4 linked regions of the Anolis sagrei genome follow. The protein of the gene in region 4 purifies or fractionates together with the protein of the main gene of each other region. This does not show direct contact. Links are inferred from orthologs where the notes say so. Each region holds a gene or a part of one and is shown on either strand. Other genes may lie near its edges. The genes, in order: DHX9, GEMIN4, TARBP2 and AGO2.

Region 1 (8,020 bases), about 110 Mb from region 4:
TTCAGGGCCCTTCCACATGGCCATTTAACCAAGAATATCAATGCAGATAATCCACAATATCTGCTTCGAACTGGGTTATTTGAGTCCACACTGCCATATAATTCAGTTCAAAGTGGATTTATACAGCTGTATGGAAGGGGCTTCAGAGAAGGGATACTCTGTCTGCAATAACCCTATAGTATAATATTTGGAAATACAGCTAGAAGAGAATAACTAGGATTGAAGTGTACTTTGGGAAATATAATATAAAATGAGGAAATTGTGGCCCTTAGATGGCTAGGAAATTTAGGCTGGATCTACACTGCCATATAATCCAGATTTTCAAATCAGATAATCCTCATTCTCTCTTTGAACTGGATTATATGAATATACTGCCACATAATCCAGTTCAAAGAAGATAATCTGAATTTTATATGGCAGTGTAGATGGGACCTTAGGATTCAAATACAACAGTCAGCAAAAGATTTGTATTAAAAAACCACACTTATTGGACTGAAACACAGGTGCTTATAATTAAAATGCCTTCTCCATTGCCTTCCCCATCCAATACAAAGCCAACAGCAAACGACTGAAAGGAGGCACGCTTGTCTCTTCTACTCATACCCCTTTTACACGACCATATAACCCACGTTAACTGCTTTGAACTGGATTACATTTTTTTTACACTGCCATATAACCCAGTTCAAAGCAGATAATCTCAATTTTATATGGCAGTGTAGAAGGATTCCCAGATAAATGATACTTTGCTCTTCTCTAAATGCAAAACAGGAAGCCTCACATCAATACAGTAAAACCAAGTATCACTGTTTCCCTCCCAGGCCCCTTCTACACATCTGTATAAAATTCTGATTATCTTTGAACTGGATTATATGGCAATGTAGACTCAAGATAATCCAGTTCAAAGCAGATAATGTGGATTATATATTTTATATTAAATGTAATATTACTAATAATATTACAGGATAATGTTACCGTGCAATGTAATATATAATATTAATATTGTGCTATGATAGCAATATAATATATTGTATTTACTTTTTACTTGTAAGCCATTCTGAGTCCCCTTCGGGGTGAGAAGGGCAACATATAAATGTTGCAAATAAATAAATATTCTGGATTATATGGCAGTGTAGAAGGGCCCCCTCCAAATGTGTCCTATGAGGGGACTTCTTGTCACGCAGTGTCTCCACACAGCCATATAAGCCAGAATATCAAGGCAGAAAATCCCACAATATCTGCTTTGAACTGGGTTCTACACTGCCATATAATCCAGTTCAAAGCACAAAATATGGGATTTTATTCAGTTGTGTGGAAGGGGCCTTTGTGACTTGGTTTTTCTGTCCTGACAGAGCAAACAAGAAAAGCATCCAGGGCCTTTCCACACAGCCATATAATCCAGAAAAATCCACAATATCGGCTTTGAACTGGGTTATTAATCCTCAAGGCCTTTCCACACATAATAATAATAATAATAATAATAATAATAATAAACCTTTATTTGTACCCCGCTACCAAATTAAACATGAGCCAACAATGTGATGTGGTGGCACAGAAAGCCAATGGGATTTTGGCCTGCATCAATAGCATAATGACTAGGTCCAGGGAAGTAATGCTACCCTTCTATTCTGCTTTGGTTAGACCACACCTGCAATATTTTGTCCAATTCTGGGCACCACAATTCAAGGGAGATATTGACAAGCTGGAATGTGTCCAGAGGAGGGTGACTAAAATGATCAAGGGTCTGGAGAACAAGCCCTATGAGGAGCGGCTTAAGGAGCACCCCTGACAGATGGCCATCCAGCCTCTGTTTAAAAGCTTCCAAAGAAGGAGCCTCCACCACACTTCGGGGCAGAGAGTTCCACTGATGAACAGCTCTCACAGTCAGGAAGTTCTTCCTCATGTTCAGATGGAATCTCCTTTCTTGTAGTTTGAAGCCATTGCTTTGCGTCCTAGTCTCCAGGGAAGCAGAAAACAAGCTTGCTCCCTCCTCCCTGTGGCTTCCTCTCACATATTTATACATGGCTATCATATTTATTTATTTATTTCAGTTTTGTATACCAAGCTTCTCAACCTCGTTGAAGGACTCAGCCCTGTTTACAGCCATAAAAACATATACATTCATTAAAATATCATATATCACAAATTACAAAACAACTTTAGAAACACTAAATATAAAACTACAGTGGTCAGTCGTCCTAATAAGATGGATCTATATCCACTTCCATCCAGAGTCCTATGGTGTTGTCTCTTTCCTCGAAGGCCTGACTCCACAGCCACGTCTTCACCCGTTTCCTAATGTTAGGATGGATGGGGCGGTTCTGGCCTCCACAGGGAGAGAGTTCCAGAGTCGTGGGGCCTTCCTCTCAGCCTTCTCTTCTTTAGGCTAAACATGCCCAGCTCCTTAAGCCGCTCCTCATAGGGTTTGTTCTCCAGACCCTTGATCATTTTAGGTTTATTAGTCCTCAGGGCCTTTCCACACAGCCATATAATCCAGAATAATCCACAATGTCGGCTTTGCACAGGGTTATTAGTCCATACGACCATATATTCAAGTTCAATATGGATTTTCTACAGCTGTGTGGAAGGGGTCACAGTTAGGGAAATCCACCCTCTGAGGAAACCTGAGGCCGGCGTATAAAAACCCAGCATGCACAGCTCCAGCCTCCCTCAACTTCTGCGCCTGCGTGTTTTTGCCATAGTCCCTTTACCGGCTCCCTAGTTTCACGCGCATGCGCACTAGCTAAGGCGGGCCGCACTCTGGCGCATGCGCACATTCTCCCCGGCCTTTTCATTCCCCTGCGCCCCTCGTTCCCTCCCTCCTGCTAAGGCTCTGCACCCCAAATATCAACACACCAGAGGCACGCCCGCCACCTAGTCCTGCTGGGGAGAGCTTTGCTTCAAGCGCAAGCCAGCTCCGCAGCCTTCCACCTCGAGCAGCTCTCTTCTTGCCGACGCCAGCTCTCACAGAGTGGCAAGATGGCGGCAACCGCTTCGCGCATGCGTACACCTCACTGCGCCTAGGAAGGCGTGTCTGCACTCAGGGAGGAAAGCGCGCCCCGGGTGGACGGAGGTGGAACTACACTGGTCTCTTCTGCACAACCACTCAGAGATGTAGAATCATAGAATCAAAGAGTTGGAAGAGACCTCATGGGCCATCCAGCCCAACCCCCTGCCAAGAAGCAGAAATATTGCATTCAAATCACGCCTGACAGATGGCCATCCAGCCTCTGTTAAGTCCTGTCTTGTTTCCACAGTGGCCATCCTACTGTTAGTCTCCTGTAGCACGAACAATAGCCAGAAAAGTGCCATAACACTTAACAGTTCTGTACATTTTTAGTGTTTACTAGCCATCCCCTGCGACGCGTAGCTGTGGCCCATATGGGGGTTCTATGTGGGAGGTTTGGCCCAATTCTATCATTGGTGGGGTTCAGAATATTCTGTGATTGTAGATGAACTATAAATCTCAGCAACTACAACTCCCAAATGTCAAGATTCTATTTTCCCCAAACTCCACCAGTGTTCACATTTGGGAATATTGAGTATTCGTGTAGAGTTTGGTCCTGATCCACCATTGTTTGAGTCCACAGTGATCTCTGGATGTAAGTGAACTACAACTCCAAAACCAAAGGACACTGCCCACCAAACCCTTCTGTTGGTCATGGGAGAACTGTGTGCCAAGTTTGGTTCAATTCCATAGTTGGTGGAGTTCAGAATGCTCTTTGATTGTAGGTGAACTATAAATCCCAACAACTACAACTCCCAAATCTCAACATTCTATTTCCCCCAAACTCCACCAGTGTTCACATTTGGGCATATTGAGTATTCGTGTAGAGTTTGGTCCTGATCAATCATTGTTTGAGTCCACAATGATCTCTGGATGTAGGTGAACTACAACTCCAAAACCAAAGGACACTGCCCACTAAACCCTTCTGTTCGTCATGGGAGAACTGTGTGCCAAGTTTGGCTCAATTCCATAGCTGATGGTGTTCAGAATGCTCTTTAACTGTAGGTGAACTATAAATCCCAGCAAAGGCACTGCAGACTACTTCAACCAGAGAAATCAGCCATAGCAGAGCACCTGATGAACCAACAGTATCCAACCTGGACACAGCATTTTATTTGAGAACACAGAACACAGAAATGCTGGACCACTCTCACAACCACCATGTCAGGGTACACAGAGAAGCCATTGAAATCCACAAGCATGTGGACAATTTCAACAGCAAGGAAGAAACCATGAAAATGAACAAAATCTGGCTACCAGTATTAAAAAACTCAAAAATTACAACAGCAAAACAACAGAGAGTAAACAATCAGGCACATCTTAACACCTCTCAACAAAAGATTTTTCCAGGCTCAGCCAGGCCTTCAAATGCTAATGAAGGTGGTCAGTTGAAACATTCACACCTAGCTCCAGCAGGGAAGAGCTCCTTGCCCCACCCCAGCCATTCCACAGATATATTAACCCACTTTCCTATTTCCAACAGACCTCACTACCTCTGAGGATGCTTGCCATAGATGCAGGCGAAACGTCAGGAGAAGTGCCTCTGGAACATGGCCCTATAGCCCGAAAAAACCCACAAGAACCTAGTGCCATAACACTTAACAGTTCTGTATATTTTTAGAGTTTACTAGCCATCTTCTGCCACACGTTGCTGTGGCCCACATGGGTGTTCTGTGTGGGAGGTTTGGTCCAATTGTATCATTGGGGGGTTCAGAACGCTCTGTGATTGTAGGTGAGCTACAACAACTACAACTCCCAAATGTCAAGATTCTATTTTCCCAAAATGGCAAAATAAACTCCCAGTAAATAAAATAGACAAGCTCCCAATAGGTTCCTTAGACAACAGAAAACCCCAGCTATATCGCAACATGCTAAAGAAACTGGAACAAAACGGAATAACAAAGATTGAGGACTTACTAAAACCAGACGGGACTGTAATTCAATGGGAGGAAATAAAAGATAAATGCGGGCATGGAAATTGGTTACAATGGGGAGGGCTGTCTAAAAAGCTAATAGAATTGAAGAATAAGGAAACCTCAGAAACAAATCTCGACAAAATAATAAAATGGAAAGTAGAGAGGGAGAAAGGAATCATGGGATTTATATATAACACAATCACCGAAATACAATACAACACAAAATCTACCCTAATGGAAGTCTGGAAGGAGGAATTAAATTGCAGTGAGAGAGAAATAGACAATTGGATTAATTCAATCAATAAAATAAAACACCTAAAGATTAAAGAAATGCAACGAAAAATATTGACAAAATGGTACAGAACTCCTGTGCAACTGGCGCATATCACAAAAACATGCCCAAAATTATGTTGGCACAACTGTGGTAAAATAGGAACATATGCCCACATGTGGTGGGAATGTGAAAAAATCCAAAAGTTCCAAGAAATAATCAGGAAAGAAATGGAGGAGCTATTAGGGATCAAGATAGAATGGAATAAGGCCCAATTTTTCACTCAGAAATTCGAAAATAAAGAGGAATATAAGGAAAGTGAGGAAATAATAAAACATATGATAGAGGGAATTAAAGCCTCAGTGGCCCTGGGCTGGAAAGACCACAAGAAATGGGATACAAAAACCTGGTACAAATATTTAGCAGATTACCTTCTTCAAGATGATATTAGCGAAAGGAAAAGTTACTATATGACGGGTCAAAGCAAAAAGACATGGAAAGCAAAATGGAAGGGTCTCATATATAGAATAAAGGGGAAAGATAAATATACGGTGTTGAACAAAACTATTCTCATGATTGAACAATTGTAATAAACACAGCTAAAGTATCTATTTGTTCCGGGGGGGGGGGGGGTGTGCTGGTGGCGGGATTGGGGAAAAAACTGGTATTATGAATGTTATTTTCAAAGATGGAATGTTTCTATGTATTATACAATAGTAATTTTGAATGTTATTTTCAAAGATGGAATGTTTCTATGTATTATACAATAGTAATAACAAAATTAAAAAAAAACCTTAAAAAAAATAAAAAAAAACATCTTAAAAAAAAAAAAGATTCTATTTTCCCCAAACTCCACCAGTGTTCACATTTGGGCATATTGAGTATTCGTGTAGAGTTTGGTCCTGATCCATCATTGTTTGAGTCCACAGTGATCTCTGGATGTAGGTGAACTACAACTCCAAAACCAAAGGACACTGCCCACCAAACCCTTCTGTTGGTCATGGGAGAACTGTGTGCTAAGTTTGGTTCAATTCCAGAGTTGGTGGAGTTCAGAATGCTCTTTGATTGTAGGCGAACTATAAATCCCAGCAACTACAACTCCCAAATGACAAAATCAATTTTTTTTAGTGAAGGACATACATTGGATTGTTCGGTGTCTTGTGTCCAAAGTTGGTGTCGATTCGTCCAGTGGTTTTTGAGTACTGTTAATCCCACAAACGAACATTACATTTTTATTTATATAGATTAGATACCATACTTTGAGTAACTTTCCAATGAGGATTGGAAGGAAAAAATGTAGGCAAAGGCATTCGACACAGTGAATTGCAGTGCTATCTCGACCATCCTCCAAAAAATCCGGTGCCCTAACAAATTTGTGAACATCCTGTGGCTCCTCCATGGTTTTTTTTTTCCGTGTCAGGAGCGACTTGAGAAACTGCAAGTCGATTCTGGTTTGAGAGAATTGGCCGTCTGCAAGGACGTTGCCCAGGGGACGCCCAGATGATTTGATGTTTTTGGCTCAGTGGATTAAACCCCTGTGCCAGCAGGTCGCAGGTTCGAATCCGGGGAGAGGTGGATGAGCTCCCTCTGTCAGCTCCAGCTCCCCATGCTGGGACATACATCCTTGCCGCCCTACATGAGAGCCATGTATGACTTAGGGCCTTTTACTCAAGCACTTAAGACCTGGCTTTTTACTAGAGCATTCGATCCCTGTTAATTTTTAATTTTTGTATGTATTTTATCTTTTACAATTTAGCTGTAAATCGCCCAGAGCATTCTTGGATGGAGGGCGATTAATAAGTAATTAAATGATGATGATGATAACATGAGAGAAGCCTCCTCCATGATGACATGATGGCAACAGTCTTGGATAGCAATGGCTCCCAAAGTGACCCATTTAAGGTAGAATCAGGTGTCAAACAGGGATGTGTTATTGCCCCAACCTTATTTTCCATTTTCAATGCTATAATACTTCTTCTTGTTGACGGAAAGCTTCCCACCTGAGTAGAAATCATCTATCGGACAGATGGTAAGCTACAGGTTCTTGTGGGTTTTTTCGGGCTATATGGCCATGTTCTAGAGGCATTTTCTCCTGACGTTTCGCCTGCATCTATGGCAAGCATCCTCAGAGATGGTAAGCTATTTAACCTCAGCAGACTGAAAGCTAAAACCAAGGTTACAACAACATCTGCTATAGAACTTCAATATACTGATGACAACATCATCTGTGCACATTCAGAAGAAGACCTACAAGCCACTCTAACACCTACGCAGAAGCATACAAGAAGCTCGTCTTGTCATTGAACATCGAGAAAACCAAAGTGCTCTTCCAGCAGTCACCAGCCAATCCCTCTCCAATGCCAGAAATACAGCTTAATGGTGTAACATTATATTGCTTTCAATTGTGTTGTTGTTTTATCTGATGTTTTAATTGGTTAAAGTGTTTTACATGTGTGTTTTAATTGTAATCTTGGGGGTGTCCCTTGTAAGCCACACCGAGTCCCCTAGGGGAGATGGTTGGCGGGGTATAAAAATAAAGTTATTATTATTATTATTATTATTATTATATTATAACATTAGAAAATGTTGATCATTTCCGCTACCTTGGCAGCCACCTCTCCACAAACGTCAACATTGACACTGAAATACAACACCGCCTGAGTTCTGCTAGTGCAGCTTTTTTCCAAATAAAGCAGAGTGTTTGAGGACCAGGACATCCGTAGGGATACCAAGGTGCTTGTCTATAAAGCTATTGTCCTCCCAACTCTGTTATACGCCTCCGGGACGTGGATTATCTACAGACATCACATGCAACTCCTAGAATGATTC
Region 2 (7,622 bases), on a different chromosome or scaffold from region 4:
ATGGCTTGAGGCTGACGCTCTTCAAGAAGTCCGCCACGAGCTCGGAGAGGCGCGCCACGGCCTTGGCCGTCTCGTCCTCCAAGTCGCCCCCCGACTCGGCATACCTCGCCAGCCGCTTCTGCAACGACGCCAAGCAATCGAGGAGCCGGTAGCTTTCGTAGCAGACCTGTTCCGGATCGTTGAGGAAATCCTGAAGCTCCGTAGACCACTCTTCCAACAAAGCGTGGAGAAAAGCCAAATCTATGAGCAAGAACGCTTTGGACGTCTGAGCCACGCTGAGCAAACTCACGCTCCGCTCAGCCTCCTTCACCTTCTCGTCCAGCTCCGATTTGCTATAGCGGTTGTCGCAGTCGCTGCACCAAAGCGTCACCACTGAAGAGACCTTCACCAAGTACGTCTTGATGGGCACTGACTCCGCGTCGCACGCCGCCAGCGACATGGACACAAGGTCCACGAGGTTGGCAAGAGCGTAACACTTCATCTTCGCCGGGCAGACGCTCCCCTGGATCAGCTTCAAACCCTCCGTTAAGATGGGAAGGACGTTCGTCTCGAGGGGGGGATGCGTCGAGGGAGGGGCGTCGCTCTTGAAGCGCTTCGGGGCCTGACCTGTGTCGTCCGGCTCCGGGAGACACTGCCGGGAGACGTTGCGGAAGAGCAAGGTCAGACGGTCTTCCTGGCCGGCCTTGTGCTTCATGATCTCCCACCACACGTCTAAGTAGAAGCGGACGTCGCGCGGAGAGGTCTCCTTGGCCACGTACGCCACCAGCGCCTCCAGTTCCCGCCGGCAAAGCGGCTCCGGAAGAACCAGGAGAAGTTCGGTGAAAAGCCGGGGCGCGTTGGCCGCCATGAAGAGCTCAAAGAGCACCGTGCGGTTGACCTCCGGGATCATGCTGCTGACGGAGAAGAAGGCGTCGTCCTTCCACCGCTGGTTCAGGGACACCGCCGGGGCCTCGGAGAAGAGCACCTTGGACCACAGGATGACCGCCGCTTTCTTCTTCCAGGCGTCCGGCTGCGGCGGGTACGACGAGTGGGAGGTGCAGATCTCTTCCAGCGCCTCCAGGATGGGCTTCCCCACCACGGGCCAGTCGGACTTGGCCAGCTCGGACAACGGCCGGGGGTGGCACAGCTGGGAGGCCAGCAGGAACCCGCCGTGCAGGACGGTCACTTCTCCGCAGATGGTCAGCGGCCCTGTTGGGACAGAGACAGACCGTTCTGTTCAAGGGAAGGATGGGCTACTCAACCCTCAGCCCGGAGATGTCTACTATATATTTATAAATTATGTTTATATATATATATAAACATATATACATATATACATATATATATATATATATGAATACCATAAAATTTATAAATATATAATATAGAAAATTGTGGATGATAATCCTTTCATATCATGGCAAACTAAATTGTATATATGTGTATATACACACACTACATGATATATAATACATATTTATGTTTCTGTATTATTATTTTATGAATTATTATATCCTTTTTAATCTCTTGACAGCTTTCCTCAATATTATTACTTACAATTATTATTGCTAATACAAAGACTGATAATGATGTTTGGTCGAAGGCTTTCATGGCCAGAATCACTGGGTTGCTGTGAGTTTTTTGGGCTGTCTGGCCATGTTCCAGAAGCATTCTCTCCTGGCATTTCATCCACATCTATGGGAGACAGCCTGGAAAACTCACAGAAACCCAATAGTAGTAGTAGTAGTCATATCCAATTTATTTATCTCTGGACTGAGACTCACAGCATTACTCTCAATGCCATGAAGATGACAACATTTTATTTAAAAATAGTGACCAACAACCTATAAATGTCAAAAAATAGAATTAAATTCCAAAATCTGTTCAAACACTTAAAAAAAAACTCCCCAAAATAATCTCAGGAGGGTAAAAAAACACCTGAAAGAAAAATAGAAACATAATAATAATAATAATAATAATAATAAATAGAAAAGGGAAAAAGTCATCATAAATAAAACATTAGAAAACATAAATAAATAATAAAAATAATAAATAGAAAACAAAAATAGAAAATTATAAAATATAAATCAATTAATAATAATAAATAGAAAAGAAAAATTAGAAAATATAAATCAATGAATAATAATAAATAGAAAAGGAAAAAAGTGATCATAAATAGAAAAATAGAAAACATAAACGAATAATAATAAATAGAAAAGAAAAAATAGAAAATTAGAAAATATAAATAAATCAATGAATAATAATAAAGGAAAAAAGTGATCATAAATAAAAAATAGAAAACATAAATAATAATAATAAATAGAAAAGAAAAAATAGAAAATTAGAAAATATAAATAAATAAATGAATAATAATAAATAGAAAGGGGAAAAAGTGATCATAAATAGAAATTTAGAAAACATGAATAAATGAATAATAATAATAAATAGAAAAGGAAAAAGTGATCATAAATAGAAAAATAGAAAACATAAATATATAATAATAATAAATAGAAAAGGAAAATTAGAAAATATAAAAGAATAATAATAGTAATAATAAATAGAAAAAGAAAAAGCTGATCCTAAATTAGAAAACATAAATAAAAAATAATTAAACAAAAATTGATAAAATAATAAATAATAGAAAAAAGTAGGAAATACAGAATGACAAACAAATAATGGAAAATAAACCAAGAGACAGGAAACATAATAATAAAATAATTAGTAATAATAAAAAAGTAAGTAGAAGAAAATAAGTAGAAAATAGTAAATAAAAAATTAAATACAAATAGGAAACTATGAATGGAAAAAAAGGACATAAATAATAGAAAATAAAATTACTGGGCATGAAAATGAAAAAAGTAGTAGAAAAGCAAAAATAAAATAAATAGAAAATGAAATATTTCTGTGGCCCTTGGCGAACTACATCTCCCACCCACCGAGCTGCATGGCTGCCTCTCTCCTTCCCCCTCTTCCGGGCCGGAAGCGGAAGTGTGGCAGGGGAGGAGGAAGAGGCGGGCATTGTGCGCTCAGCCCGCGCGGCACAAAAGCCCCGGATGGGAGAGACCTTTTTGTCCCCTGGCGGCTGCAGTGGAAAGCGCGCGGCTCCGCCTGACGCCACACTTCCGCCCTCTTCCCGCTCCCCTTCTTGCCCTTCTTCCGGCGCCGAGACGGGGTTCCGCAAAGCCAAGTTCCGCCGGAAGAGCTTCCTCTGCCGCCTCCTCCGAGACACCGCCCCCCGCCCGGACAACGCCACGCCCCTTCCGGCCTACACTGCATGGTCGGCCTACTCTATGATCATTACTATCGTTATTATTAGATTCTTATATTAATATATTTTATATATTATAAATTATATATTATAATATATGATGATAATATTAGTAATTATATTGTTTGAATATATATTCTTATATTAATATATTATACTCTTATAATACATATTATACTTATATTATATTAATAATATAATATTAATTATATTATACTATAATTAGTAATTATATAACATTAATATATATTCTTATATTAATATATTATACTCTTATAATATATATTATATTATATTAATAATATAATATTATTAATATAATTATATTAATTATATTAATATAATATAATTGGTAATTATATTACATTAATATATATTCTTATATTAATATATTATAATATATATTATACATATATTATACTTATATTATACTCTTATAATATTATACTCATATATGTATTCTTATATTAATATATTATACTCTATTATAAATTATATATATTATATTTGATGATAATATAATAAAACAAATTATTTTATTATATTAAGATATAATAGGGTATTGTTCTACTACTATTATTATTATTGGTATATATTATTTTATATTGCAGTATTATAATACCAATTATTATATTATTATTTTATATTACATTGTTATTATTTTATATCCATTGTTATTAAATATATATTATTGCATTATTATTATAATATGAATTGTTATATTATTATTATTTTGTATTACATTATTAAATCAATTGTTGTTTCTATATATATTATTATATCAAATATTCTTGATCCCAGCAGGGATTCTTCTATTATTATTATTAAAAATATTCATAGTCTCAGCAGGAATCATTTTATATTATTATTATTATTATTATTACTACTACTATTATTATTATTCTATCAAATATTCCGATCCCAGCAGGGATTCTTCTATTATTATAATAATTATATTAATACAATCATAATGAGAAGAATGACAATAATGTTCAGTATAATATACTGGTAGTGTATTTTACATGTTGTGGCATAATAATATAGTACACTATAATGCTATAATAATTGTATATTATATATTACATGCAATATTTCTAATAATATTACAGTACAGTGGAATTGTTTAATATAGTAACATATAATACTAATATTGTGGTATGATAATAATATAATTTACTAAAATGTAATACAATAAATAATACAATACAATAATATATTACAGCATAGCAGTATAGTTTAATATAGTAACATATAACACTAATATTGTGCTATGCTAATAATATAATGTAATACAGTATACTAATTATATAATATATAATAATATATTACAGTCCTCAGTCCTGTCAGCACAAGGGTTTAACCCACTGCACCATGGGGGCTCCTGTTATCAATTCTAACTGAATATATATAGTTTAATATAGTAACATAGAATACTAATATTGTGCTATGCTAATAAGATAATATACTAAATCGTAAGACAATATACTAATAATACAATATAATAATATATTACAGTATAGTGGTAGTTTAATATAGTAACATAGAATACTAATATTGTGCTATGCTAATAAGATAATATACTAAAACGTAAGACAATATACTAATAATACAATATAATAATATATTACAGTATAGTGGTATCGTTTAGTATAGTAACATATAATACTAATATTGTGGTATGCTAATAATATAATATACTAAAATATAATACAATATACTAATAATATATAATAATATATTACAGTATAGTGGTATCGTTTAGTATAGTAACATATAATACTAATATTGTGCTATGCTAATAAGATAATATACTAAAATGTAATACAATATACTAATAATATATAATAATATATTACAGTATAGCAGTATAGTTTAATATAGTAACATATAATACTAATATTGTTCTATGCTAATAATATACTAAAATGTAATACAATATACTAACAATATATTAATATATTACAGTATAGCGGTATAGTTTAATATAGAAACATATAATACTAATATTGTGCTATGCTAATAATATACTAAAATGTAATACAATATACTAATTATATAATATATAATAATATATTACAGTATAGCAGTATACTAAGACAATATACTTATTATATAATATATTATAATACTAATAATTCCTCCTCCTCCTCCTCTTCCTGCAGGGACAGCCCCTTCCGCCCGGGCCCCCTCCTGATCTCCCGGCGCTCGCTCTGCTCGGGGCGCAAAGAGGGGGCCCTGCTCACCGCCTGCCTCCGCCTCCGCCTGCGCAAGCCCCTCCCTTGGAGCCACCAGTGAGGGCATGATGGGCCTTGTAGTCTGGCCCCAGAAGGAAGGCGGAAGGGCCCAGGGGGGACAAGGAGCGAAGCCCACCTCTCCTGCTCCTGGACATTAAACCCCCCCACTCTTTGAGAAAGGAAGGCAACCTTGAGTGTCTTGGTCTATCTGTGTTCCTTCAGGGGACTCCCGAGTCCCATCGTCCCGTCTCGGGGGCCACCAGTGGGGCGCTAGGATGGATCTAGGCCAGTGGTTCTCAACCTGAGGGTCCCCCAATGTTTTGTCTTTCAACTGGTACACGAGGCTAGGATGATGCTTGTGCAATCCGGGCAAACTGCAATCTGTTTCGGCGTCCCGGATTTCAATGGGGGTCCCGGTCTGTTTTTTGAGAGCTCCCCAAATTCGGAAGGGGGTTTTTACCCAGGAAGTTGAAAGACTCCTTTATATATTACTAGCCGTCCCCTGCCATGCGTTGCTGTGGCCCAGTCTGTATATATGTGTTTTGTGTGTGTGTATATATGTGTGTGTATATTTGTGTATCTGTGTATATATGCGTGTTTGTGTGTGTATATTATAGATAGATAGACGGATAGATAAATACAGATAGATATGTGTGTGGAGGTGTATAGGTGTGCATATATTTGTGTATCTGTGTATATGTGTATATTTGTGTGTGTATATAGATAGATAGATGGATAGATAAATTCAGATAAGATATGTGTGTGGAGGGGTATGTGTGGGTGTATATATGTGTGTGCGTAGATGTGTATATTGTATATATGTGTTTATATGTGTGTATATATTTGTGTATCTGTGTATATGTGTGTGTGTGTATAGATAGATATAGATATATATATGTGGGGGGTATGTGTGGGTGTATATATGTGTGTGCATAGATGTGTGTATATGTGTGTACATTTATATGTGTATATTGTGTATATGTGTGTGCATGTGTATATTTGTGTGTGCATGTATATATGTGTATATGGAGATGTATGTGTGTATATTTCTGTGTGCTTGTGTGTATATAAATAATATACATATACAAGTTTGTGTATGTATGTGTGCATGTGTATATGAGTGTATGTGTATATATATGTGTGTGTATATATGTGTGTGTGTGTGTATGTGTGTGTGTGTGTGTGTGTGTATATATATATATATATATATATATATATATATATATATATGGTGTATTTTTGGGGGTTTTTAAGTCCGTTCTGCTGAGGGTTTTTGTATTTTTAGGAGTGATCAACACTCATTGGACTGTTAGGTGTATTCTGTCAAAATTTTGTGTGAATTCGTCCAGTGGTTTTGGAGTTCTGTTAATCCCACAAACAAACATGACATTTTTATTTATATAGACAGAATAATAATAGTTTTTGTGTAATATATATTATCATATAACATAGAATTAAATAATAATAATAATAATAATAATAATAATAATAATAATAATAATATTTTCTTCTTCACGGGAAATTATTTATTTGGAGGAAAAGAAACCCAGAATGAAACCCAAGGCAATACATTGATTTGGCAAACACCAGACGGAGGGCACCGGACTCTGAAGCCTTCGAACCAACGCCGAATAGATGGCGCTTGCATTCGAGGCGGAAGGCATCCACTGGAATGTATTTCCAAGCAGCCATACATGGCTTTTCCTTTCAGGCAGAAGGTTTAGGGATGTTGTGCTTTGCAAACCACTCCTGGCTTTTGTCGGCTGCCATACTCTACGGAAAGAGAAAGACTATTCTTATTATTATTCAGTCTCCATGCCAAACACCTCCTATAATAATAATAATAATAATAATAATAATAATAATAATAAACAACTTTATTTATATTCAGTCCTATCTCCCCGAGGGGACTCAGGGCGGATTACAGTACACATATACGGCAAACGAATCGACAGCATGTCCTTATGGGCGCCTTTGATTACCTCCCCGCCAAAGCGGTACCTATTTATCTACTCACATTGCTGTTTTTGAACTGCTAGGTGAGCAGAAGCTGGGCTGACACTTGGGAGCTCACCCCAACCCAGGCTTGAATTGTTGGCCTGGCAATCGGCAGGATTTTCTGCAGCTGGAAGTTTAACCCG
Region 3 (7,456 bases), on a different chromosome or scaffold from region 4:
ATTAAACATCGCGAAAACCAAAGTGCTCTTCCAGCAGTCACCAGCCAATCCCTCTCCAATGCCAGAAATACAGCTTAATGGTGTAACATTAGAAAATGTTGACCATTTCCGCTACCTTGGCAGCCACCTCTCCACAAAAATCAACATTGACACTGAAATATCGCCTGAGCTCTGCAAGTGCAGCATTTTTCTGAATGAAGCAGAGAGTGATTGAGAACCAGGACATCCTTAGAGATATAAAAGTGCTTGTTTATAAAGCTATTGTCCTCCCAACCCTGCTATATGCCTGAAAAACGTGGACTGTGTACAGATGTCACATGCAACTCCTGGAACATCAGCATTGCCTCTGAAAAATCCTGCAAATCTCTTGGGAAGACAAGCAGACAAATCCCAGAGAGCAGAAGAAGCAAATACCACCAGCATTGAACAGAGTTGATGGCTCCTATGCCATCAACTCTGCTGGACTGGCCACATTGTCTGAATCCCTGATCACTGTCTCCCAAAGCAGTTATTATACTCCCAGCTCAAGAACAGGAAACATAACATTGGTGGGCAGGAAAAGAAATTTAAAGATGGGCTTAAAGCTAACCTTAAAAACTGTGTTAACTGGGAACTAGGAAGCCCTGGCCCTTGAGCGCTCTAACTGGAGGTCAGCTGTGACCAGCAATGTTGGGGAATTCGAAGAAGCATGAATGGAGGGTGAAAGAGAGAAACATGCCAAGAGGAAGGCATGTAAAGCCAACCCTTATTGGGACGGCCTTCCATCTGGAAATCAATCAAGAATATACCTCTATAGTCACCTACGGATCCACCACTAAGACCCTACATTTGGAAGGCAATCATACTCAGTCACAAGTGACAGCCTATGATGGTGATCCATCAGAGTTAGGCCTCTGTTTTTAGACATCACAGAAGGGGAGGAAATAGCTAGTTATTTTACAGTATATTTAAAATACAAATACTTACTGCCAAATAGAGAGAAATAAGTGTATCATTTTCTACAATTATATTTCAGCTCAAATATCTTTTGAGATGGGAAGAGGGGCTGCATCTTGCTTTGCTTAAGGCAGGGCATCTCAGTCTTAATGTCCTAAGCCAACATGGCACAGTTATATATAGAGTGCAATCCTATTATTCAAAAGTCAGAGCAGTGGAGTTCACAAAGGCCCCATCCACACTGTAATCCAGTTCCTGAATCCAGATTATCTGCTTTGAACTGGATTATATGGCAGTGTGGACTCAGGGCTCTTCCACACAGCCATATAACCCAAAATATCAAGGTAGATAATCCACAATATCTGCTTTGAACTGGGTTATCTGAGTCCACACTGTCATATAACCCAGTTCAATGCAGATGTGGGATTTTATACAGCTGTGTGGAAGGGGCCAAGGTATAAGGCTATAGAATGGCCACATTACATTTTGTTTTATTTGGAGAAAAGATTTAGACTGTAATGAGATGGGATAAGAAGAAGCCCTACTGAATCAATCTGTGGTCTGTCCTCAGTTTCAAGAGCACAGCCTCAACTAGCACTCCAAACGACTTAGGTGTCCACTCAAAAGCCCAGGAAGCAATGCAAGTAGGAGGCCACAATTTCCTACTACAAAGACTTTTATTGTAGGCCACAGCAATAACATCAAAATGCATATAGAAATGCAATCAAAGGTTTTGTCACAGCCTAAAATGGGGTTGCAAGGCCTTTTTATCATTTTCAAAGAAAATTGAAAACACATTCTCATTGGTGTTCAAATATCAATCATTTCATTGGTCTAAACTGGCTAATACAAATTTCATTGGCTCTCTATGACTTTGACAGGCATGAAGACACACATGAGATCTTAACAATGGCACAACTTTAATCTATTGGTCTCCAACTCTGGCTGTCTAAATGAATCAGTCTTACCTGTTCTTCTGTTGCAAGCATAACTCGATTGGGAAACTAGCTAGCCAGTTTTGTCCTGATGTACTGTTATCCTTGAAAAGTAACTTACCCTCTGCAGCAATATTTTTCCAAACCATCTGCAAACAAAGGCCCTCTGCAAAAGCAGGCACATATGGCAGTTCGCAGCTTGGGAGTTCTCCTGGACTCATCACTGAGCCTGGAATCCCAGGTTACAACGGTGGCCAGGGAAGCTTTCGCACAATTAAAACTTGTACGCCAGTTGCACCCGTACCTTGGGAAGTCAGACTTAGTCATGGTGGTCCACACTCTTGTTACATCCAGGATAGACTACTGCAATGCATTCTACATGGGGTTGCCTTTGAAGACTGCTCGGAATGGGACGGCATACAGGGAGCATACAACTCCCATGTTACGCCAGCTCCACTGGCTGCCAGCTTGCTACCAGGCACAATTCAAAGTGCTGGCTTTGGCCTACAAAGCCCTAAATGACCATGGCCCAATGTACCTGTCCGAACACATCTCCCCCTATGAACCATCGCGGAGATTAAGATCCTCTGGGAAGGCCCTGCTCTCCACCATTGTCACAGGCACGATTGGTGGGGACGAGAGAGAGGGCCTTCTCGGTGATGGTCCCCCAGCTATAGAACTCCCTTCCTGGTGAGATCAGATCGGGCCCCTCCCTCCTGTCCTTCAGAAGGATGGTAAAAACTTGGCTGTGGGACCAAGCTTTCGGGACAGGGCAATAAAGCAATAGGAAATTTTACCGGCCAATTAGATTTGGCGCAGATGACCAAGACGATTTTAAATAGTAATAATAATAATAATATTTATTTATTTGATCAGTCATATGACCATTTCAAAATAGAACACAAGTAAAAAAACAAGGCAACAAGGTGATAAGTCTGGTTCTTCTTTCAAGAAATCTGCTCTTTTCTTAATAGCTTTCAGAATAAAAAGGCTTACTCTGATTATGTTGGATCTTTCCTGACCTTCAAGAGGGATGTCAGAATATCATTTCTGTTGGGGGACCTGCAGTTGGATAATATTGGATGTAAATATCTGTCTCGCAGTTCAATGTATGCTGGACAGTCAATTAAGAAATGTTCAATGTCTTCCACTGTTTGTTCTCCCCAGACGCAGAATCTCTGGTTTTAAATAGTGTTTTTTTTAATATTGAAATAAATGTTTTTTTTAATGTTTATGTATGCATATAATGAAATCTTGTCCCGGCATTGCATGTTTGCCATATATATGCTGTGCTCTACCCTGAGTCCCCTTCTGGGTGAGAAGGGCGGAATATAAATGTTTTAAATAAATAAATAAATCAGGACAATATGGGACATTGGAAGCATCCCTGAAAATACCCCTTTAAAACTACGTCTCTCTCATCAGGGTGCATCGAAAGGTCTCCTCGCACTTGAGCATTTATCCACTTTAATCCACTTTAAATACTGCGACTGCCTCCTGCAGAATTCTGGGATTTGTAGTTTAGGGAGTGGGCTTTTAAACTGCTCATCCAGAGAAGCCCTGGGCCTCCCTAAACTGCAAGCCCAATAATTCTGCTTGAAGCAGTCATAGCATTTAAAGTGGACTAAAGTGGACAAATGCTCAAGTGTGTTTTGTTGTTGTTCATTCATTCAGTCATTTATGACTCTTCGTGACCTCATGGACCAGCCCACGCCAGAGCTCCCTGTCGGCCGTCACCACCCTAAGGTTGTTAATGTTTCTTCCAGCAATTTTTACCCCAGCCTTGCATTCGTCAAGCCCTGCACATTGCATGATGTGTTCTGCATGCAAGTTGAATAGGTTGGGTGCGAGTAGACAACCCTGCCGTACGCCTTTCCCAATCTTGAACCAGTCTGTTGTTCCATGGTCACTCAGTTCTGACTGTTGCTACTTGGTCCTTATACAGATTCCTCAGGAGAAAGATAAGGTGATTTGGTATGCCCATACCATCAAGAACGTGCCACAATTTATTATGATCCTCAAGTGTGGGGAGGCCCTAATTCATGCACTTGCACTTCCATGGCTCAGAATTGTCCTTTGAGGCTTCTCTGCCAAAGAGGGCTGGTGCCTCACCAAACTATAACTCCCAGGACTCTATAGCATCCAGCCCTGGCAGTTCCAGTGGTCTCAAACTGCATTTCTTAATCTCCAATTAGGCAACGAATCCTGGCTAATAAATTACAGCAGGCATGGGCAAACTTGGGCCCTCCAGGTGTTTTGGACTTCAACTCCCACAATTCCTAACAGCCTATCGGCTGTTAGGAATTGTGGGAGTTGAAGTCCAAAACACCTGGAGGGCCCAAGTTTGCCCATGCCTGAGTTACACGCTTAGGAGACTACTACTCCCAGCATGCAGCGCGAACGAGTTTCGCGCGTCGACACTGAGAAAAGCCGCTCTCCGCGGCCGAAAGGCCTTGTGGGTGTTGTAGTTCTTCAGCTGATGTGGCTCGAGGGCCGGGAGCCGGGTGCGGACTCCATCTTCCAGGATGCGCCTCGCCGGGCGTGGAGGCGGTGGAGGCGACGCGGGGCCGTGGCTTCCTCTTTCCCGGCCATTGTCAGCCGGGCTGGAGGGCGGCAAGCGTTGTGGTGGCGGCGGCGGGGCAGGAGGAGGGAATGAGCGAGGAGGAGGCGGAGGAGCCTTGCGGGAACGCGAGGAGCGGCGGCGGCGGCGGCAGGTGAAGGACGCGCCGCGCGGGTTTGTTGCCAGGGGACACGCCCCGCCCCTTTGGAACGCCGTTGCTAGGCTACACCCGTGCCCGCGAGGCCCCACTTAGTAACGCGTTGCTAGGAGAGCGGGAAGGCCCCCGTGGGGTCGCCCTCTTTATTTAGGCCTGTTCCCTGCCATTGGTTAGAGAGGTTCAGAGGCAGCCTTCTTCCCATCCCCTAAAATCTGGGAGATGCGGATTCAGGTCCCCACAGAGCACACCCACATGAAATCCCACATTATCTGCTGTGAACTGGAATATATGGCAGTGTGGACTCAGATAAGTTAGGGCCCTTCCACATAGACATATAATCCAGAATATCAAGGCAGAATAACCTACAATATCTGCTTTGAATTGGGTTAGCTGAGTCCACACTCCCATTCAGTCTATGGGCCCTTCCACTAAACCCTATATCAAGGCAGAAAAAAACCCACAATATCTGCTTTGAACTGGGTTATCTGAGTCCACACTGCTATATATTCCAGTTTAAAGCAGAAAATGTGTGGTTTTATTCAGCTGTGTGGAAGGGGCAGATATTGTAAGATTTTCTGCCTTGATATTCTGGGATATATGGGTGTGTGGAAAGGCCTAGGCCCCTCAGATAACCCAGTTCAAAGCAGATATTGCGTAATTTTTTTTGTTGTGTCAGGAGCAACTTGAGAAACTGCAAGTCACTTCTGGTGTAAGAGAATTGGCTGTCTGCAAGGACGTTGCCCAGGGGACGCCTGGATGTTTTGATGTGTTATCATCCTTGTGGGAGGCTTCTCCCATGTCCCCACGTGAGGAGCTGGAGCTGATAGAGGGAACTCATCCGCGCTCTTCCCAGATTCGAACCTGCGACCTGTCGGTCTTCGGTCCTGCCGGCACAGGGGTTTAACCCACTGCGCCACCATGGGCTCCATAATTGTGGATTATCTGCCTTGATATTCTGTGTTATATGGCTGTATGAAGGGGTCCAGAGCCCGGGCAATTCCAGTGAGACCAAACCACATTAATTCTGCTATGTAGATGCATCCCTGGAGCTCAGTGGGACCCCTTCTACACTACCATATAAAATCCAGATCATCTGCTTTCAACTAGATTATATGGTAGTGTAGAAGGGGTCTGGGTGACCTTGGGTTAGTCATTTGTGAGGCTAAAGCAAAGAGGAAAGGAGCCAAAACACATGAAGCAGAAGTCCATTGGCAGGGACCAATGGTGAAAAACATGTTTCACTCATTTATTTATTTATTTTTGTTGTTGTTGTTACATTACAATTATTACATGTGATTTTAATTGGTGTTTTAATGTCATGTTTTTAATGGGTTTGGTTTTAATATTTTTGTATATTTACCAATGTATTAATATATGACATTGAATTGTTGCCTTCGTAAGGCTGCCCTGAGTCCCCTTCGGGGTTGAGAAGGGCAGGCTATAAATGTGGTAAATAAATAAATACATTACAAAGTTGTATTGCAGTCCTCTGTATTTCCTGGAGTTAGGGGCACAGGAGCCCGTGAAAGTGAAAAACCATAAATAAAGAAATTACTATATATTTTTCCTCAAAGGCCCCTTCTACACAGCTGTATAAAATCCACTTCGAACTGGATTATATGGCAATGTGGACTCAGATAACCTAGTTCAAACCAGATATTGTGGGTTATTTGGCTATGTGGAAGGGCCCTATGAGAAGACTTGGACAAATTTGTTTAAATTTAAGAAATTAAAAAAAATTCTAGGGATTTCTAGGTCTTCCAGCATGACTTTACAGTCATCTTTTGCTAAAAGCTGATAATAGAACTTCATAGGAGGATCTAAAGCAGAGGTGTGTTGCAACATGTTAATGTGTTGGCTGCAGTGTGTAGCTGTGTTGCACAAATGTAATGAAAAATCTCTGAGTTTATGCAAAATAAGCAATAAATAATATATTTCAAAAATATAAAGGAAAGTTTTTCATGATATACGTTGTGTCTCCATACATTTCATTATTACAGTGTATATATGTGTCCTTATTTATTGTGCAAGGTTGATGTAACCTCCAGTATGCTAGTAAAACTGGGTCACAAAATGATGCCTGTCTAAAAAGTGTGTCATCAACATGAAATGTTTGGAAAGCTCCTATCTAGACATTCCTAGAGAGACTCTTTCTGGAAATCTTTGGGTGCTCCAGCAGGACTGGAGGGAGTTGATCATGAAGTCAGACTGGAGGACCTAGAGACTCCTAGAGAGAACATTTCAAATCAAATCCATGAAAAATCCACAGAAGTAAATCCACAAAACATGGAGAGGTGACTGTATGATTAAATATATCTAATAGATGATTTTTGCCTCACTCTGTACACAACAGCCATGTACAGTGTCCAGTTCATTTCACCTCTCGTGACTTAAGACGTGGACTTGAAGGGACTTGAAAGCAACCAATCCTCTCTAAAAGAGAGGGGAGGGGTGAAATCCTTTTGCTATGAGTGCAGTGGATTCTATGTGACATAAGAAAGAATACAGGAGGGGAGAGAGTTGTTTTCTGATCTATTAATTTAGTATATACCTCACTTTTCCCTCTGCAACAGATCCAAATTGCTTGGATATGTCTATGCATGTTTACAAAGACACTTGTACATAGTGGGAGTGGGGTTGTGCAACATTTCAAAGTCTGGCATACTTCATCACGGGGCTTAAATAGAACTGCAGTTTGTCAGATAATTTTTCTATCCAATCTATATAAAACTAGGCCCTTTTGCTCACTCATTTTGATGTAAAACACAGAACTTATAGCTCTTTATTGCTGTATTGTACAAAAAAAAATCAACATACCTCTTGAATCAGAACATGGAAAAGTTCCCATTTTTGGATTACAACTCCCAG
Region 4 (7,295 bases):
ACAGATGGCCATCCAGCCTCTGCTTAAAAGCCTCCAAAGAAGGAGCCTCCACCACACTTTCAATTAAAAACCTTATAAGGCAACTTAAAACGTACCAATATACAAAATAAAACAGTATTATCATTATATATTATTGTATATTATCAGTGGTATAATAACTAATATATTAATTAGTGGTATATTAATATTATACCAATTATAATTAATATTCTTATGTATTATTATAATTAATATATTTCTATTATATTGTATAATTATATTGTGAAGATTGTATACATTACAATATTATTTATAATATATGTCTATACAATACAATACAACCAGAGATATGTAGTCACCTACGGATGTGAGAGCTGGACCTTAGGGAAGGCTGAGCGAAGGAACATAGATGCTTTTGAGCTGTGGTGTTGGAGGAAAGTGCTGAGAGTGCCTTGGACTGCGAGAAGATCCAACCAGTCCATCCTCCAGGAAATAAAGCCCGACTGCTCATTGGAGGGAAGGATACCAGAGACAAAGTTGAAGTCCTTTGGCCACATCATGAGGAGACAGCAAAGCCTAGAGAAGACAATGATGCTGGGGAAAGTGGAAGGCAAAAGGAAGAGGGGCCGACCAAGGGCAAGATGGATGGATGGCATCCTTGAAGTGACTGGACTGACCTTGAGGGAGCTGGGGGTGGTAACGGCCGACAGGGAGCTCTGGCGTGGGCTGATCCATGAGGTCACGAAGAGTCGGAGACGAATGAACGAATGAACAACAAAATACAATACAATATTAGTGTTATATATATTATTATATAGTATAATATTGTCTTACTATTAATATAAGTTTATACAGTATATTAGCATAGCACAATATTAGTATTATACTATACGTAGTATATTATACTATATATACGGTGGCGCAGTGGGTTAAAGACCAGGAGGTCTCTTCCAACTCTTTGATTCTATGTAAACCCCACTTGCCTAGTTTCCAATAAATCTCGCAAACTCTGAGGATGCCTGCCCTAGATGCTGGCGAAACGTCAGGAGAAAATGCTTCTGTAACATGGCCATACAGCCCAAAAAACTTACAGCAACCCAGTGAATCTGGCCATGAAAGCCTTCGATAAGACAATAGAATCAAAGAGTTGGCAGAGACCTCATGGGCCATCCAGTTCAACCCCATTCTGCCAAGAAGCAGGAATATTGCATTCAAATCACCCCTGACAGATGGCCATCCAGCCTCTGTTTAAAAGCTTCCAAAGAAGGAGCCTCCACCACACTCCGGGGCAGAGAATTCCACTGCTGAACGGCTCTAATAATAATAATTGTGCAGAAGCCATTGTTATTATGTTTGTGTTTAACTGTTAGAGTATGTATTTTTGTTTGTAACAGTAGCTAAAACTGGAGTCATCTGGTTTGAATCCACAGTGAGCGTTGCCAAGGAGACGAGGCTGGCTAGCTCATGAGAGGGAGAAGTGAGCGGAGCCAAGCAGGAAACGTTATGTGCGTTTTTAAAAAAGGCCAGAGAGTGAGGCTTGGAAAGGCCTGAGAGAGAGGCTTGTGTGTGAGCGGCTGGTGTTTTTTCAGTCTAGGAGGGCTGAAGAAACCTGGCCAGATTCTTTAGTCAAAGAAGACAAACGGAAGCCTAGTTAAGATCCCTAGTTAAGGAAGGACTAGAGATCAGAGATTTGATCGAGGGAAGATCAAATTGAAAGGCTATTTGTAGTAGTGAAACATTGTTCACTAGAGAGCTTCACTTCAGTGAAAGTTAGCCACAAGCTGTGTTATTTATTTATTTATTTATTTATTTACTGTGCTTATATACCGCTGTTCTCAGCCCGGGGGCGACTCACAGCGGTGTACAACATAGAGAGGACAGGGTGCAAATTACAAGACACAATCTAAAATCAATCTAGCAATAACAAAAAACATCGTCATCAACAACATCAACAATATCAATAATACAAAAAGCCATTTGCGTCGTCTCATCGTTAAACCACAATCCAGTATCATTTTCCGTTGTTCCATTCCTGTCGTCATTACCAATTATTGCACTTCTTGTTCGAACGCCTTCTTGAACAGGCAGGTCTTTAGTTTCCTGTGGAATATCATCAGGGAAGGAGCCAGTCTGATGTCCATGGGAAGGGTGTTCCACAGCCGAGGAGCCACCACCAAGAAGGCCCTGTCTCTTGTCCCCGCCAGGTGTGCCTGTGAGGCAGGCGGGATCGAGAGCAGGGCCTCCCCGGACGATCTCAAAGTCCCCGTGGGCTCGTAGGCCAAGATGCGGTCATATAAGTATCTTGGGCTGGAACCGTTTATCTGGAAGAGTGGACTGTATTATAAACCACATGATGTTCAAAGTTCCATAAGTTATTTAACAGCCTGCAACTATAAGCTTTGTACACAATAAAGTTGTTATCTTTGTTGAAAACCGTCTCATCTCAACTAATCTGCGTCTGTAGAGCCAGATCTCATCGGTGGTACCTCAAACTGTTGGTGGCCGTTACCTTAATTTACAAATAATAATTGGCCTCCTCCATAATATTCTCTTCTACACCATTGAGGCCTGAGGTAAATTCCCTCCATAACACCCACATCTGTACAGTTGGTGGCAGCGGTGAGATTAAAAAGTGCCTGAGGTAAAATACTTCCATTATTAGGACCTCAGCAACACACAAGCACCTCCTCGCAACTGGTGATAGCGGTGGGGATCTTCAAAGCTAAAATCCCTATACCCTGTCCATTGTTGAGTTCACATCTTCCCAATAATAATAATGAGTCTTGTTTTCTATTTGTTTCGTGTGAGCGAAAAGCAGGCCCACTTGAGGGTGGCTCCGAGGCGGGAAACCCTGAGGAGGGTTGTTTGAGGGAAGAGAAGGCCGCATCTCTGAGGGCGAGGCCTGGTGGAAGTCCTGAGGCAAGAGCGGCCTCCCTCCCTCCTTCCTTTCTATGACTATATATATATTTATTATTTATTTATTTATTAATGCACTTGTATACCGCTAATATCTCAGCCTAAATCGGCGACTCATTGCGGTTTACAACATTTAAAAAACAATATTCAGTTAAAAGCATAAAACACATATACAGTACAAATTATTGGGCCACCAATAACAATCCTATGCATCTCATAACTGGAATCGTAATCCAAAATTCATCGTCCGTGTATAACCAATCCTTAGTCATCACAATTCGTTACAACGGATTAACCGAATGCTTGTTTAAACATCCATGTCTTCAATCTTTTCCGAAACACCATCAGCGAAGGGGCTGATCGTACCTCTATGGGGAGGGTGTTCCAAAGCCGGGGGGCCACCACAGAAAAGGCCCTATCTCTCGTCCCCGCCAGCCGAGCTTGAGAAGCAGGCGGGATCGAGAGCAGGGTCTCCCCGGAAGATCTCAAACTCCTGGTGGGTTCATAGGCAGAGATGCAGTCAGATAGGTAGCTTGGGCCGGAACCGTTTAGGGCTTTAAAGGCCAACGCCAGCACTTTGAATTCAGCCCGGTAGCAGATCGGTAGCCAGTGGAGTTGGCGCAACAGGGGGGTTGTATATATATAATCATAATAATAATACTACAGTGTGTGTGTATATATATATATATAGTAAGCCGCTCTGAGTCCCCTTCGGGGTGAACAATAATAATAATAATAAAAAATTATTCGGGGTGAATAATAATAAATAATAAATAAGGGGACTCAGAGCGGCTTATATATATACATAGTGTGTGTGTGTATATATATATATAACGATAATACAGTATATGAACTTGGATGTGTCTATGGACAACGCCAGCTTTTTGGCTTTGAAATGGAGATGTGTCTGACTCGGGGTTGGTGCTCATCTCAATTTCAAAGCCGAAAAGCCGGCGTTGTCCACAGACACATCCAAGTTCATGTGGCCTGCATGACTGCCTGGAGCCCTGTTACCTGCAACCAGCCAGGTATTGAAGCTGCAAGGCTATTCAATGTGAGTCAAGGAAGCCAACTGAAACACTCACACTTGCCCCAAACAGACAAAATAATGCTTTCTTCCACCCTGGACCTCAATCCACAGATTCCAGCCATGAAAGCCTTCGACCAGACAATAATAATAATAATAATAATAATAATAATAATAATGAGTCTTGTTTGTATTTGTTTCGTGTGAGGGGAAAGCAGGCCCACTTGAGGGCGGCTCCGAGGCGGGAAACCCTGAGGAGGCTTCTTTGAGGGAAGAGGAGGCCGCATCTCTGAGGGCGAGGCCTAGTGGAAGGCCTGAGGCGAGAGCGGCCTCCCTCCCTCCTTGCGTGGCTCCTCCTCCTCCCGCTTCCCTCCGCCTCTTCCCTCCGCCTCCTCCGTCTCTCTGGGCCTGAGGCCGCCTGGCCCGGGGACTCCTTCCCTCCTCGGTCGGGGAGAGAAGCAGAACGACGACGAGGAGGAGGAGGCGGCCCAGGAGGAGGCGGCGGGTTCCCACCGTCCCTCAAGAAGGAGAAGGAGAAGCAGAAGCAGCAGCCGAGTCTCCACTCCGCCATGTATTCCGCGGGGGGCTCTTCCCCCGTCGCGGGAGCCGCCGGGCCCGGTGAGAAGCAACTTTGTGGAGCCTTATTTACAGATTTGGGGAAACGAGGCCTAGTGGGGAGCACGAGGCGCCGCTAACAGTAGGAGGGAGAGCGGGGGGGGGGGAGGGGGGAGTTTCTGAAGCTCAGCACGCGCCTATGCTTTTGCCTGCCCGCCCGCCTTGCTGCCCTTACCCTTTTGGGCCTCTGCGCTCGCCGTCGTTTTTGGCCGCCTTCTCTCTCTCTCTCTCATTTGAAGCCTGCCTCCCCTGAAATGGCCCCACATCAGGGCCCCTGCGGAAGAGGCTGCTTTCCCACCATTATTGGCACCCACAAAGGCCACAGGAGGGTATTGAGAATCATGGGTATCATCTACAGCAGGCCTGGGCCAACTTGGGCCCTTCAGGTGTTTTGGACTACAACTCCCACCATCCCTAACAGCCATGCAGGCGAAACGTCAGGAGAGAATGCCTCTAGAACATGGTAGGCTGTTAGGGATGGTGGGAGTTGTAGTCCAAAACACCTGAAGGGCCCAAGTTGGCCCAGGCCTGCCACAATCCACAACTACGTAATCCTAACCTAATTATTATAATTATAAAATAATACTATGTTATATATAATAATACTTTATGGTATACTGTATTATTATTATTATTATTATTATTATAGTGGATAATAATAACAACCGAATTATTATTATAAAATAATACTTTATTATATATAATAATACTTTATGGTATACTGTATTATTATTATTATTGTGGATAATAATAACAACCTAATTATTGTTATAAAATAATACTTAATTATATATAATAATACTTTATGGTATACTGTATTATTATTATTATTATTGTGGATAATAACAACCTAATTATTATTCTAAAATAATACTATATTATATATTATAATACTTTACAGTATACTGTATTATTATTATTATTATTATTATTATTATTGTGGATAATAATAACAACCTAATTATTATAAAATAATACTATATTATATATAGTAATACTTTATGGTATACTTTATTATTATTATTATTGTGGATAATAATGACCTAATTATAAAGTAATACTATATTATATATAATAATACGTTATGGTATACTGTATTATTATTATTATTATTATTATTGTGGATAATAATAACAACCTAATTATTATTATAAAATAATACTTTATTATATATAATAATACTTTATGGTATATTGTATTATTATTATTGTGGACAATTTCAACAGAAAAGAGGAGACCATGGAAATGAACAAAATCTGGCTACCGGTATTATAAAAAAACTCTAAAATTACAACAGCAGAGAGGAAACAACCAGGCACATCTTAACACCTCTCAACAAAAGATTCTCCCAGGCTCAGCCAGGCCTTCAAATGCTAATGAAGGTGGTCAGTTGAAACATTCACACCTAGCTCCAGCAGAGAAGAGCTGTTTGCCCCATCCCGGCCATTCCACAGATATATAAACCCATTCTCCTAACTCCAACAGACCTCACTACCTCTGAGGATGCTTGCCATAGATGCAGGCAAAACGTCAGGAGGGAATGCCTCTAGAACATGGTAGGCTGTTAGGGATGGTGGGAGTTGTAGTCCAAAACACCTGAAGGGCCCAAGTTGGCCCAGACCTGCCATAATCCACAACTACGTAATCCTAACCTAATTAGTATTATTATAAAATAATACTATGTTATATATAATAATACTTTACGGTATACTGTATTATTATTGTTATTGTGGATAATAATAACAACCTAATTATTATTATAAAATAATACTTTATTATATATAATAATACTTTAGGGTATACTGTATTATTATTATTATTATTATTATTATTATTATTGTGGAGAATAATAACAACCTAATTATTATTATAAAATAATACTATATTATATATAATAATACTTTATGGTATACATTATTATTATTATTATTATTATTATTGTGGATAATAATAACAGCCTAATTATTATAATAAAATAATACTATATTATATATAATAATACTTTATGGTATACATTATTATTATTATTATTGTGGATAATAATAACCTAATTATTATTATAAAATAATACCTTATTATATATAATAATACTTTATGGTATATTGTATTATTATTATTGTGGACAATTTCAACAGAAAAGAGGAGACCATGGAAATGAACAAAATCTGGCTACCGGTATTAAAAAAAAACTCTAAAATTACAACAGCACAACAGCAGAGAGGAAACAACCAGGCACATCTTAACACCTCTCAACAAAAGATTCTCCCAGGCTCAGCCAGGCCTTCAAATTCCAATGAAGGTGGTCAGTTGAAACATTCACACCTACCTCCAGCAGAGAAGAGCTCTTTGCCCCACCCCGGCCATTCCACAGATATATAAACCCTTTTTCCTAACTCCAACAGACCTAATGTAATGCAATATAATACTACTACTAATAATATGATATTATAATTATATATTTATATTACATGTAATATTACTTATAATATTACAGTCTAATTGATATAGTGCAATATAGCAATGTTTAAAACTGATGTTGTACTAGTTAATAATATATTGTACGTATATATACCTTTTAAGCCGCTCTGAGTCCCCTTCGGGGTGAGAAGGGCGGCATATAAATGCCGTAAACAAACAAACAAATAAATAAATAAATCCCAGCAACTACAACTCCCAAATGTCAAGATTTTAGTTTCCCCAAACTCCACCAGTGTTCACATTTGGGCATATTGAGTATTCGTGTAGAGCAGTGTTTCTC

What was found.
Region 1: the proteins of AGO2 (region 4) and DHX9 purify together in Homo sapiens (affinity purification with western blotting; 5 studies listed by BioGRID and IntAct, with this or other methods). This does not show direct contact. The link is inferred for Anolis sagrei from reciprocal best matches to the Homo sapiens genes AGO2 and DHX9.
Region 2: the proteins of AGO2 (region 4) and GEMIN4 purify together in Homo sapiens (affinity purification with western blotting; 4 studies listed by BioGRID and IntAct, with this or other methods). This does not show direct contact. The link is inferred for Anolis sagrei from reciprocal best matches to the Homo sapiens genes AGO2 and GEMIN4.
Region 3: the proteins of AGO2 (region 4) and TARBP2 purify together in Homo sapiens (co-immunoprecipitation; 10 studies listed by BioGRID and IntAct, with this or other methods). This does not show direct contact. The link is inferred for Anolis sagrei from reciprocal best matches to the Homo sapiens genes AGO2 and TARBP2.

The regions. Positions count from the first base shown.
Region 1 is NC_090024.1:123,122,616-123,130,635, forward strand, and holds the start of DHX9 (ATP-dependent RNA helicase A), read right to left. Parts: upstream 3,003-8,020; 5' UTR 2,854-3,002; intron 1-2,853. UniProt on the Homo sapiens protein: Multifunctional ATP-dependent nucleic acid helicase that unwinds DNA and RNA in a 3' to 5' direction and that plays important roles in many processes, such as DNA replication, transcriptional activation, post-transcriptional RNA regulation, mRNA translation and RNA-mediated gene silencing.
Region 2 is NC_090031.1:35,279,644-35,287,265, forward strand, and holds the start of GEMIN4 (gem-associated protein 4), read right to left. Parts: upstream 3,008-7,622; 5' UTR 2,926-3,007; coding exon 2,916-2,925; intron 1,189-2,915; coding exon 1-1,188. Other genes in the region: GLOD4 (glyoxalase domain-containing protein 4), read right to left, coding at 7,189-7,254. UniProt on the Homo sapiens protein: The SMN complex catalyzes the assembly of small nuclear ribonucleoproteins (snRNPs), the building blocks of the spliceosome, and thereby plays an important role in the splicing of cellular pre-mRNAs.
Region 3 is NC_090022.1:190,334,375-190,341,830, reverse strand, and holds the start of TARBP2 (RISC-loading complex subunit TARBP2), read left to right. Parts: upstream 1-4,440; 5' UTR 4,441-4,523; coding exon 4,524-4,585; intron 4,586-7,456. UniProt on the Homo sapiens protein: Required for formation of the RNA induced silencing complex (RISC). Component of the RISC loading complex (RLC), also known as the micro-RNA (miRNA) loading complex (miRLC), which is composed of DICER1, AGO2 and TARBP2.
Region 4 is NC_090024.1:10,974,271-10,981,565, forward strand, and holds the start of AGO2 (protein argonaute-2), read left to right. Parts: upstream 1-4,282; 5' UTR 4,283-4,491; coding exon 4,492-4,540; intron 4,541-7,295.